Linked DNA regions of Oryctolagus cuniculus. The main gene of each other region encodes a partner of the protein of the gene in region 2 in a complex. Links are inferred from orthologs where the notes say so. Each region holds a gene or a part of one and is shown on either strand. Other genes may lie near its edges.

Evidence for each region.
Region 1: the proteins of RAB3GAP2 (region 2) and RAB3GAP1 are in contact, whole or in part, in a cryo-EM structure (PDB 8VYB), measured with the Homo sapiens proteins. The link is inferred for Oryctolagus cuniculus from reciprocal best matches to the Homo sapiens genes RAB3GAP2 and RAB3GAP1. Residues at the interface, in NP_036546.2 of Homo sapiens: Arg197, His198, Pro199, Gly200, Ser276, Pro277, Phe278, Asp279, Met281, Lys282, Ser285, Asn286, Ile287, Gly289, Phe290, Asn291, Ala292, Ile294, Arg377, Phe378, Gly379, Leu380, Pro381, Asp382, Arg385, Cys395, Thr397, Leu398, Arg407, Arg415; in NP_036365.1 of Homo sapiens: Thr19, Ser21, Trp23, Glu24, Glu142, Ser143, Asn146, Leu147, Leu149, Ser150, Ser153, Ile154, Ile169, His170, Trp173, Arg174, Met176, Arg187, Asp189, Glu191, Met192, Val193, His194, Leu195, Arg196, Pro199, Tyr202, Ile211, Ser214, Lys215.

Annotation. Positions count from the first base shown.
Region 1 is NC_091434.1:108,472,828-108,479,117, reverse strand, and holds part of RAB3GAP1 (rab3 GTPase-activating protein catalytic subunit), read left to right. Parts: intron 1-498; coding exon 499-591; intron 592-1,039; coding exon 1,040-1,209; intron 1,210-5,121; coding exon 5,122-5,211; intron 5,212-6,184; coding exon 6,185-6,290. UniProt on the Homo sapiens protein: Catalytic subunit of the Rab3 GTPase-activating (Rab3GAP) complex composed of RAB3GAP1 and RAB3GAP2, which has GTPase-activating protein (GAP) activity towards various Rab3 subfamily members (RAB3A, RAB3B, RAB3C and RAB3D), RAB5A and RAB43, and guanine nucleotide exchange factor (GEF) activity towards RAB18.
Region 2 is NC_091444.1:34,577,429-34,583,718, forward strand, and holds part of RAB3GAP2 (rab3 GTPase-activating protein non-catalytic subunit), read right to left. Parts: intron 6,262-6,290; coding exon 6,113-6,261; intron 5,344-6,112; coding exon 5,264-5,343; intron 5,133-5,263; coding exon 5,043-5,132; intron 3,157-5,042; coding exon 3,017-3,156; intron 1,056-3,016; coding exon 839-1,055; intron 271-838; coding exon 127-270; intron 1-126. UniProt on the Homo sapiens protein: Regulatory subunit of the Rab3 GTPase-activating (Rab3GAP) complex composed of RAB3GAP1 and RAB3GAP2, which has GTPase-activating protein (GAP) activity towards various Rab3 subfamily members (RAB3A, RAB3B, RAB3C and RAB3D), RAB5A and RAB43, and guanine nucleotide exchange factor (GEF) activity towards RAB18.

The DNA.
Region 1 (6,290 bases), on a different chromosome or scaffold from region 2:
GGCCACAGCAGAGAGCTGGACTGGAAGAGGAGCAACCGGAACAGAATCCGGCGCCCCAACCGAGACTAGAACTTGGGGTGCCGGCGCCACAGGCAGAGGATTAGCCTAGTGAGCAGCAGCACCGGCCGATTTTTAATTTTTTTAATCGATTCAAATGCTAGTCTTAGAGGGACAGATGGAGACATGACTTCTCTTCATGCAGTAATATTCTATTAAGATATGCAACTTAATGATAATAGACAGTATTTGTCTCTTTACAGTTTGTTTAAATGTTTGATATCATTAGATATAGTTATTTTCCTTTTATTATAGAAGGAAATCTAAGGAATTATTTTTAATAAAAAAAGAAGGAACAAAGCTACCTTTGGAAAAACTAAATGGCTTAACTTTTCTACCATATGTTAGTTAATAGCTTTTGTGGAAAGACATATGCTTTAATTTATAGGACTGATTGCTTTCAGTTTAGTGTCATAAATGAATAATGGCTTTTCTATGTAGGTGATTTTGTTACTGAGTTTTTTAAAATTTGCCGTCGAAAGGAGTCAACTGATGAGATCCTTGGACGATCCACATTTGAGGAAGAAGGAAGAGGTGACGTATTTTTTTTTTTAAATGTTATTTTCAAATATGTTACCCTTTTTCTTTAGCACATTTTTCCAGCAAATTTTCATCTAAGTTTTGATGGACTAGACAGGTACTATTTGTTTCCAGGTTTATATCCAGAGCTTGTTAAGACATTAAGTGCATTTATGAAGTTTTTTTGTTTTTGTTTTTGCATCAAAAATGTAGGATATTTTGAAAAGTAGAGTCTTGATGGTTTATTTTTGATGTCCTGTGGAAAAAAATACCTTTTGTGATACCTTTGTCATTTCATGCTTCTATATAAAGCTTAATGTAGTTACTAAAATTTTATAATTCTGAGTCCATCGAAAACTAATAAAAAGAATATACAATCATCAATTTACTCAGCATTTTAAGATATTTTATAAAGGTTGCTATGGTTGTTGATATCATTCATATTTATGTCTTATTTTTATAGAAATTGCTGATATAACTCATGCTTTGTCAAAGTTGACAGAGCCAGCACCTGTTCCAATTCATAAATTATCAGTTTCAAATATGGTACACACTGCAAAGAAGAAAATACGAAAACACAGAGGTGTAGAAGAATCACCACTGAATAATGATGTCCTCAATACCATTCTCTTGGTAACTAAGTGTCCTTTCTTTCTATGTCTCTATATATGAGCATTTATTCATTATATATTTAGTCCCTTCTTTATGGCAAGCAGTGAATTGAGAATGTACTGGTAAGATGAATGAAACAAAGTCTCCACAGTCAGAGAATTCCCACAGATGTAGTGGAAAGCAGGGAAGTAGACAGTAGTTAAAACTTAATGTGGCCAGTGAGAAGTCTAACAAAGGAGCTGTAAGAACACAGCAGAGAATATGTCTATCTCTGGGCCATGGGAATCAGCTAACGCTTTGTAAGGAGGCACCTTTGAGCTTTATCTTGAAGTAAAAGCTTTAGAAGTAGAGGAAGAACAGAGTCCCTGGGAATGTTCAGGGATGAAACTGAAGAGGTAGCGGGTAACCTGCCATCTGAAACAGTGTATCTTTTTTTGTTTTTACTTATTTTGAAGATTTATTTATTTTTATTTGAAAGAGTTACAGAGAGAGAGAAAGGAGAGAGATCTTCTATCTACTGGTTCAGTCCCCAAATGGCTTTATTGGCCAGGGTTGGGCCAGGCAGAAGCCAGGAGCCAGGAGCTTCATCTGGGTCTGCCACATGGGTGCAGGGGCCCAATCACTTGGGCCATCTTCCATTGCTTTCCCAGGTGCATTAGCAGGGAGCTGGATCAGAAGTAGAGCATCTCGGACTTGAACAAGCACCCAGATGGGATGCCAGCACTGTAGAAAGTTATTTAACTGGCTCCACCACAGTGTCAGCCCCCAGTTTTGTTTTATTTTGTTTTATTGTATTTGAGAGGGAAATGGGGGGATGGAGAAGGAGACACAGAGAGATCTTCCATTCTCTTCTGTTCCATTTGATTCACTCCTCAAATAGCCAGGACTTGGCCAGGCAAACCTAGTACTCTGGAGCTCCATCTGGACCTCCTCCATGAGTGGCATAGACTCAGTGCTTGAGCTGTCATCTCCTGCCTCCCAAGGTGTGCATTATCAGGAAACTGTAATTAGAGGTAGAGCTGGGACTCAAAACCAGGCTCCCTTATGTGATGCATGCGTCCCAAGCAGCATCTTAACTTTTAGGCCAGATGCCTGCCTCCTGAAGCATCAGACTTTATCTTGGAGTTTAATATATTTTAAACAGAAGAGCAATGTGATCAGAGTTGTATTTTTAAAATGTTCCCTTGACAGCAGTCTAGAGAAGGTTTTACAGTGATGAGCATTGAGTAGAGGATTAGGATAGCTTCTGAGTAAGTCATGATGGAATGCCAATCTGACCCACACCGGGGCTTAATGTTGTCTCACTATCTGACTTTGAACAAGTCACTTCAGTATCTCATCAATGAAATGAGACTAATGAAACTTGGTAATCTTTTGAGGATTAAAGTTCGGTGATACTATAAGAGACATTGGATAAATGCTAGCTATTATTATTGTAATTATAGTTAAAATCATACATTTCACAATTTGTGTGTTAAGACCGTCTTGGAAAAATCTTCACGAGTAGTGTAATGAAAAGAAAACCAGACCATGGGCCTGCGTTGTGACATAGTGGGTAAATTTGCCTGCCTGTAATGCTGGCACCCCATATGGGCACTGGTTTAAGTCCCTGCTGCTCCACTTCTGATACAGCTCCCTGCTAATGCCTGGGAAAGCAGCAGAGAATGGCTCAAGTACTTCAGCTTGTGCACCCATGTTGGAGAGATCTAGAAGAAACTCCTGGCTGCCAGCTTTAGACTGGCCCAGCTCTGGCAGTTGACAACCATATGGGGAGTGAACCAATGGGTGAAAGATTTTTCTTTCTCTCTCTCTCTCCCCTCCCCCCTTTCTCTCTCTGTAACTCTGGCTTTCAAATAAATAAGTTTTAAAAAGAAAAAAAAAGGATACCGGGCTTAGAAACTTGTTAATCTTGTCCTTGAGCAAGACTCTTAGCTAGATTTTCAGTTTGTACATCATGAGATGTTGGTGGTGATATTTAGCTCACATCATGGTATGAGAATAGGATATTGTTTGTAAATGGGCCTCGTACTGTTGTTTAGCACACAGTAGTTCTCATTTTTAAAAGTCTGTTGTGCATGTTCTGTAGTATGTGCTAAAGTATATGTAGTAAGAGGAATACCTAGTCAGTAGTACCATAAAACAGTTGGAAGGCACATAGTGAAAGGACTGAAATTTTTTTTTTTTTTTTTTTTTTTTTTTTTTGACAGCAGAGTTAGATAGAGAGAGAGAGAGAAAGGTCTTCCTTTCCATTGGTTCACCCCCCAAATGGCCACTATGGCCGGCACGCTGCGCCGATCCGAAGCCAGGAGCTTCCTCCTGGTCTCCCATGTAGGTGCAGGGCCCAGGCACTCCACTGCCTTCCCGGGCCACAGCAGAGAGCTGGACTGGAAGAGGAGCAACCGGGACTAGAACCCAGGGTGCCGGCGCCACAGGCGTAGGATTAGCCAAGTGAGCCATGGCACTGGCCAAGGACTAAAATTTCTGTAGAGCAGTTTCCTTCTTATTTACATATCCTTTGGATTTTATTCAAACTGTATACCTTATGGAGTTCTTATAACACTTATTTCTGGTTATATATAATGTATTATATTTGAAAAATCAAAAAGTATGGAAAAACAAACCCACAATTATCATTTTTGTGTATATCCTTTTTCCTATGTATTTTCTTATTATGTATTAAAAATTATAACATGTATATTCATTTTGCTTCTTGGTTTTCACAAAATGCTATGCTATAAACATTGCTTATGTCACTCAAAACACTTCCTATGTATTTTTATTTTTTATTTATTTAGGTTTATTACCTAGAAACCTTTTATTTAAGGTATACAAACTTCATGCGTTTCATAAATACAAATTTAGGAACATGGTGATTCTTCTCACCCTACTCCCTTCCACCTATACTCCCACCTTTCTCCTCCTCCCTCTCCTATTCCCATTCACTAAGATCTGTTTTTTAATTACCTTTATACAATGAGATTAACCCTACACTAAGTATAGGGTTCAACAAGTAATATTTTAAAAAAAAAAAACTCTTCCTCAATAATTGAGACAAGGGCTGTTCAAAGTCATTGCATCTCAAAGTATCAATTTCACTTCTATAGATTACCTTTTAGGTACTCTGTTATTACCACAGATCAGGGAGAACATGTGGTTATTTGTCTTTTTGGGACTGGCTTATTTCGCTAAGTCTGTTTCCTAGTTGCATCCATTTTGTTGCAAATGACAGGTTTTCATTTATTTTTAATGCTGTATAGTAATCCGTGATGCACATATCCCATAATTTCTTTATCCAGTCGTCAGTTCATAGACATCTGGGTTGATTCCATATCTTAGCTATTGTGAATTGAGCTGCACTGCTTATTGTTGTATGCCCTGAAATTTTTCTACCACCCTTACCTGCCCATACACAGACACATAACACACCTACCATGTAGAAAAGATATGGTGGTCATTACAGAGTTAGGCTGCTTCTCACTTTCCAAGGGTATCTCATGTTTAAGTTTCTCTTATCATAATTTAGTGCTTCATATATGAAAACCTGTGGATGATATGACTTCACAGATTATCATGGACATATAGGGATTTTTTATAGTTTTAGGTTTTTAATAATATTAACAATTTCAGTAAAACTTACTAGCTTTGCAGAGGCATGAAATCAATACTGAAGATATTTTACTTTTATACAGTTAAGACCACATGGGTATTTTAAGAAAAAATGTCTTATTTCTGAAACTGACAAGTCACTGAAGTTTTGTGTGCTTTCACAGAAAAATAAAAGAAATTTGAGAATGTAGAACCAACTGAGTGGTATAGTAAGAACATTCCCACAGTTTCAATAGCAGAAATCATTGAAAAGTCAAATAGGGTTTTATTGTCAACAAAAATGGGATATGTGATCTAAAATGCAATTGTTTTCTTTCCTCCCCTAAGTTCTTATTCCCTGATGCTGCTTCTGAGAAACCAGTAGATGGAACTTCTTCAACAGACAACAGTAACCCTCCATCAGAGAGTGAAGACTATGTAAGCTGATTCGGATTTTAGTATTAAAATATTTTAAATATATTAAGTTTCTGGGTGTTGCTGTATGTCTAGGTTAGTAGTCTAAATATCTTTTTATTTAAAAGTCATCTTTGGAAAATTGAGTTGGAAATCATGTCCTCCACTGATAATTACCTACTATAAAACACTGATGTATCAAGAATTTTTCTGAAAATAATGAGAAAATAGCATAAATGTACTGTGTATAGTAGCTGTAGAATTCTCATTTTAGAATTGTTGTGAAATCATTAAATTTATGTTTTGTAGCAGATTCTTCTGTATATTTAAAATGAGACAGTGAGTAGGAAACTTCTTAATGGAGTAAAATGTGTAAGATGCAGTAAGATTTTCATGTTTCTAAGCCCGAGAAATAAGAGTTTAAATGACAGTTTTAAGAAATCTTCAAAAAGTTAATGGAGAATGTGTATTATGAAAAAGCTTTATGAATTTCAAAATTTTGCACCAAAGTAAACTCAGCTTTTCATTCCATTTTCCCACAACTTTTGAAGTCCCTTGTTTATCAAACTGTTTACAGTAGTTATTGAAAAGTAGGTTTCATGAGGTAAGGAGGATTGGCAAAGGCTTTTATACTTTTCATTGTATACAGTTCTGATTTTGTTTTGTTTTTTATTTTTACCACAAGGATGTACTTTTTGTATTTAAAAGATTTTTAAAACAACATGAAATTTAGAATACTTAAAAAAGTACACAAGAAAATGAAAGCTGTGGTTTTAGCATCATCAAATTATAGCTTCACTTCTTTGAGTGTAATAGAACAATGGAAAACATGAAACTACCTAATAACAATCTCAGCAGTAGTGTGTTAGGCATTTGGTAAAAGCTGGTTTTGGAAAGATAGGTTTGTTTTAGCATTAAAATTTGCTCTACTTACTTTTTGATTATACTTGTAAGTATGTTAACAAGTTTTGATTTGTTTCTGTTTTATTAAATTTAGAATCTCTACAATCAATTCAAATCTGCACCATCTGATAGTTTAACATACAAATTGGCCTTGTGCCTTTGTATGATCAATTTCTACCATGGAGGATTGAAAGGAGTGG
Region 2 (6,290 bases):
AATTTTAAACATAGCAGTCTGAAGACTAAAGCAGCAAGAACAACAAAATAAAGGCGGCATAAGTCCTAAGAGAAGAGGAAGAGTGAGCAGAGGAACATCAGTCAGCAGACACTCAATAAGCCTTACCTCAGTGCCAAATGGAAAGGAACATTCACCGTTTTCACACTTCCAGACACAGGGTCCACAAGACAGATCTGGTAAGTCTGTGGCTGCCAACTCTGACTGATAACATTATTCAAGCCCATTATTTTATAGCCAGGATACAGTAACCTAAGGAAATCACACACCAATGTGGCAAAACATTAGCAAAAGGAGAAATATCAAAAGGTGCTTTTAGTATAGTTAGAGAACCCTACAGATTTACAAGTTTAGAGAACTCTACAATATTACCAATTCAGGAGCTTTAATGAGGTAAGTAAATGCTGACACCAAAACATAAGCAAAGCAGGACTCAACTGGCAGAGTAAAAGATTCTACAAAATTAAATGAACACAATCAGGCCCATATTTGATGGCAAACAAAACATTCACCTCACTTAACATCATCACTAGGAGAATCTGAAGGAAGTTTTCCTTTTCAGTCTAGACAGCATAAGCAGCACCAAGCTGACTTAAATTCAACAGCAAAATGATGGCATTTTGCAATAGCATTTCTTTATTACTAAGTACTTCATCCTTAATTATGTACCAGGCACTCACAGGAAAAGCCATAATAAAGGACATTACAATTCCCACACAGCTTGCAGCCTAATGAGTAGCTTTAACAAAAGCTTTATTTTAATAAAAGCATTCCTGTATTTCTTTTTGTAGCCTGCAAAATGCCAGGGTTTGCAGCTTACCTGCAGTGCTTTCCCACGTTGAAAGCTCCTACTCTAGGTCCCTGCTGTGTGCTCCACACCTCTAGAATTCCCCTTCGTGGGGCATAAATCACGAGGAACTGAGCTACTCGACTTGGACCCTGAGTATTTCCAAAGGGGGAAAAGTCCACCTTTTCTGGTACCCTTTCGTGGAGATCTTCTACAATTTGAATCCATCCAATTTGTGCATCACGGTAGCCTTGGATACAGAGGACAGGGAAAGTTAATTAGTTTATTAATCAACGTTCAGCAGCAGCCTCCAGAAGCATTTTGGAATATCTACAGGAGAGTGGTAGAGTATTATCTTTTTACTTTAAAATATCTTAGACAAGATAACAATAAATATAATAAACATTCAATCTGTCACCAAGCCTTATCAAATCTTAGTATTTTGCTTTATTTGTTTCAGATCACTTTTTTTCTTTAAAAAGAAAATAGTGTAGCTATAACTGAAGCCTCTTGAGTGTTCCTGCCTGCTCTCATCTCCATCTCTCCCTCTCTTTAAAAGATTCCCTCCTTTAAAAAAATTCTGGGGGCCGGCACTGTGGTGTAGGGGGTAAAGCCACCGCCTGCAGTGCTGGCATCCCTTATGGGTGCTGGTTCCAAGTCCAGGCTGCTCCACTTCCAATCCAGCTCTCTGCTGTAGCCTGGGAAAGCAGCAGAAGATGGCTCAAAGTGCTCGGGCCCCTGCACCCATGTTGGAAACTTGGAAGAAGCATCTGGCTTCGGATCAGCCCAGCTCTAGCCATTGTGGCCATTTGAGGAGTGACCTAGAGGATGGAAGACTTCTCTGTCTCTGTCTCTCTCTCTGCCTCTGCAACTCTGCCTTTCAAATAAATAAATTAAATCTTAAAAAAAATATTCTGGGGAGATTATGTTTGGCTTTAAGATAAAAGCCCATTTAAAATTTAAAAACAAAAACAAGTTGATTTTCTGCTATTCAAGCCCCTTGGCAGTAGACAGAGGGAAAACATGGGCTGCATGGTGACATGAGGAATTCCCTGTGTGAATGAAGAAGCAGCAGCTAACACTATCTTCAGTTTTAGGGCACCCCCTCTCCTAGGCAATTGATGCTACCCTCCCAAGCACACAATGTAAAAGAAAACTGCACCAACTGCAGAAAGACAGGTAACAATGCCAGCAACAAGATTACCAAAGCAAATTTGGGCAAATTGGTACAGCTGTATTTTCTCACCTTCGATTATGTTGCAGAGACAAACACCAAGAAATGATGGATGTACAGCACTGAAACTTGCTTCTACAGATACTTCAACAAGTAGCAGATAAAACAAGTGCCTGTCACTGTACAGATTCTTTGGCAAGAACATGATAGGGACCTCAATCTGGTCCAGAGTGATTTAATATTCTCAAATCTATTATTCTTTACACCATAAAGATTGTACATTAATTATGGTTTCCAACACATTGCTATTCCAGATGATTTTAAACAATGTAGTCTCCCATCTTCTTAAGTCTGGACATTTTATTTTACTCAGGTTTACAATGTACCCAGTTCAAAGGCACTTTCAAGTCTCTCATAACTAAGTCCTGGCTAATGTACTGCATGTAGATAAAGACTGGAAGGACTTTGGGCAGTGTCTTCAAAGTAGACTCGACTGGCAGGAGTATCTTCTCTTCTCTTCTCTTCTTGGAAAGCAGAGAAGGTGGCTGGCCTGAGACCCTGCGTAGGGCAGCTATGTGGAAGCAGACTGGGTTCCTTAGGATGCTGTGGTGACATCACGTCAAACCAATAACTGAGTCTGCTGCTAGCAGCTGAATGAAACTCCTGCTTGACATAGTTACTGATAAACCAAGTGGACTGATCCAAGCACTAGGATGTGACATTTGGCACAAGCATGGCCTTGTGAAGGGTAATGAGTATAGCTGGGGCAAGAAATTGAATTGAGAAATTGATGACAGTGAGAATTTAAAGACTTAAAGCATATAAGACAGAGGTTAAAAGTGCCTATGAGGTGTTCAAACTTATAAAATGATTAATACTGGATCAAGTGTTGCCAATCTGAGTTCATTTTGACACGAAAAGAAAAACCTGAAGGGTTAAACAGCATTCTTAGCTAGAGGCTGAAGAATGATAACATTGCTTAATGTTAAGAGAAAAAAGTGAATAAATGTTTTCTATAGATTTTTGTAAAGAAGTACCTTTCCACATGCGTATTGCAATCCCTCTAGATACATCCAATAAAATAACTCTCCCAAAATCATCAGTTACTGCTGCCAGTGTGTTACATGGAGACAGACATATGCTTTCACCATGCCGTCTAGAATCTGGAAGTCCAAATCTGGTATTTAAAAGAAAAAAAAAAAGCTCAAATCACATTCCAATCTATAAATACATAAAATAATGAAATGAAAAAATAAAATAGGTGACAACTATCTTTACCTAAAGAAATATGAACGTTGCCTAGCTTACCAATTCATTTACTGGTTAATCACACCTAATATTTGCAATCTAAAATACATAAAAGAAATGAAATTAAAATACCATCCTATGTTGGTTTCTATACAGATTCCACAGCCTTTTATTTCTAGGGAATAGAACTGTAACTATCTTTTCCTAAGAAACATGTCATACACAACAAGACCCTCACAGCCAATTCAATTTTAGAATACTTTGCCTCTACACAGACACCTTTTGTCTATTTTAAGTTCTTGTTTCAACTTAGTTCACTTTTATATTAGATATCATAAATTGCTGACACCAGTGTATCTTCTTTTTTTTTTTTTAAAGACTTATTTATTTATTTGAAAGAGTTACAGGGAGAGAGGAGAAACAGAAAGAGAGAAAGAGAAATCTTCTATCCATTGGTTAACTCCCCAAATGGCTGGTCTGAAGCCAGGAGCCAGGAACTTCTTCTGGGCATCCCATGTGTGTGCAGGGGCCCAAGCACTTAGGCCATCCTTTGCTGCTTTTCCCAGGAGCATTAGCAGGGAACTGGATGGGAAGCAGGAACATGGGACTCGAACTGGCATCCATATGGAATATCAGCACTACAAATGGTAGCTTAAACTGCTGTGCCACAGTGCCAGCAGTGTGAGCATTTGGAAAGTGGACCAGCAGATTAGAGTTCTCTCTCTCTCACTGAGCATAGGAGTTCTCTCTCTTCATCTAACTCTCCCTAAATTTCTCAAATAAAAATAATAACTAAATAGTTATCTCTAAAGCCTACTGGTTTATCATCAACCTTGTTAGAACTGTGAGTAAAATAAAAAGAACCAGGAACACTCACTTGAGAGAAGTCCCTAAGAAACATGTTCAAGCTATTTTTTTTTTAAGGAAAAGAGTTTATTGGGGGCAACCCGGCAGACTGGAGGGAAGGGGCGAAGAAGGAAAAGAGGGAGAAGAAGAGTGTAAAAGAGAGACACAGAGACGGAAAGGAAGAGACAGACAGAGAGAGAGGAGAGGAGAGAGAGCAAGAGAGAGAAGGTGTTCAAGCTATTATAACTATTGGGTCCTGTGGCTAATTTCTTGATTCTTGGGTGAACTGAGGACATGTGATATGTTACAACATAGTATTTTAAAATAAGATGAAGAAATCCTTAGAAGATAACATTGAGTAAATTTTAATAGCAGTTAATTAGTTGGGTCCCTTTAGGCAAAGAACATCTAAAGGGGAGGGGCTATATTGTCTTTCATGGTGGTATTTTGTATTTGGTGCTTTGTAAAATGTTTTAAAAACAAAATCAAGGGGGCTGGTACTGTGGCATAGTGGGTAAAACCAATGCCTATGATGTTGGCATCCCATAAGGGTGCTAGTTTGTGTCTTGGCTGCTCCATTTCCAATCCAGCTTCCTGCTAATAGCCTGGAGAAAGCAGCAGAAGCTAGCCCAAGTGTTTGGGCTCCTACTACCCTTTGGGAGACTGGATGAAGCTCCTGCCTTTGGCTTGGCCCAGGGCTAGCTGATGTAGCCATTTGAGAATGAACCAGTGGATGGAAGATCTCTTTGTCTCTCCCTCTCTCTGTAACTCTGATTTTCAAAATAAATAAATATAATCTTTTTAAAAAAATCTTCATCTCATGGAGTTTACCTTCCAATTGGGTAAAAATCCCACATTAATGACCATCAAAAGTTCCACAACCTCATGAGATCAGCAAGTTAACTAATAAGCACACTGAAAGACCATGAATTTCAAAGCACTAAAATTTGAGAAGCACAACAGACTTGCCTTACAGCTAATGGAGTAGCTGGTTCAACCTTCGGCTTTTGCTTCTGGACAGCTTCTTCTTCATGCTTACTTTTCCAACCAAGCCAACCACTGAAAAGAAAGGACATTTACAACAAAAGTAGAAGAGCTTCCAGAGTGTGAAGTGCAGACTCTCAAAATATAAGTTAAAACTAAGCTAGATACAAATTAGAGACTTTTAAATTTAATTTTTATGTAATTACCTGGCAGCATTAAATAAAGCAGAAGTGAGTTTACTTGCAACTGCTAGTGCAACATGAGATAATAATGGTTGTGTGCTTCCCTGAAAAGCAGAGCATTTGAAAGAGAAGAATTAATAGCTTACAAAGAAACAATAAACAATGCCAACATTAAAATGTCTTGAAAAGTTGTAAAGGTTGAACTAGTAGTATTTCAGCTTCTTTCAGAGGGCACACTAAAACTTCATTTTAAGTGCAATAAAAGAAAAAGTTTTAATGATAGTTATAAAATCACTAGTAGTCTATTTTACCTTCACGGTTTCCTTATTTTAATTGTAACTTAATTAAAATAAACCCTAAACCAGGGCAGTAAGACAGCATTGTTGTAGCTGGGCTAAGGATTTCTCATCTACTCATAACTGGTCCTCTCTCCAACCCCTGCTGCACATCCCCCACCCTGCCTGCCCTGCTTTTAAATAAATTTAGATAGTTTGGACAATTTTGAGGTTTTTTGTGAGACATCAGAGCTGCCAAATTTAACACCTAACCTATCCCTATTTAAGGAAGCAATTTTCACCACTTACATCAACTATAGTTGGCAGCTTTTTCAGCCTTTAAAAATGCTCATTTACTCATATCCCTGATGAGCTGACAGCATTAACACTGAACTTCTGACTACTGCAACAGTAGTTAGACAATTTGAGGCTTCAGAAACAAGAGGTTTGTTTGTTTTACTTAATCTAAAGAATTTAGAAGAAACCTAGTTGAGAAATGTAAACTTCTTCATTTCAGGCTAAGGAACTATATATAATTTATAGACAAGCTGAAAAGAGTGGCCTGGCTCATAATCACAGTCACTGATGAAACTCATACCTCTAAAGCATAGAAGAAGCCCGTAAATGGATTGGACCCTACAGTGATGTACTGAGACATGGCAGGTGGACTGTTTTTAATTGCTGCATTAAATCCACCAATATTGGAGGCAGTCTTCATTTGATCAAAGGGGGACAGAGTCATAATACCTAATGATAAAAAGATAAAAAAAAAACCA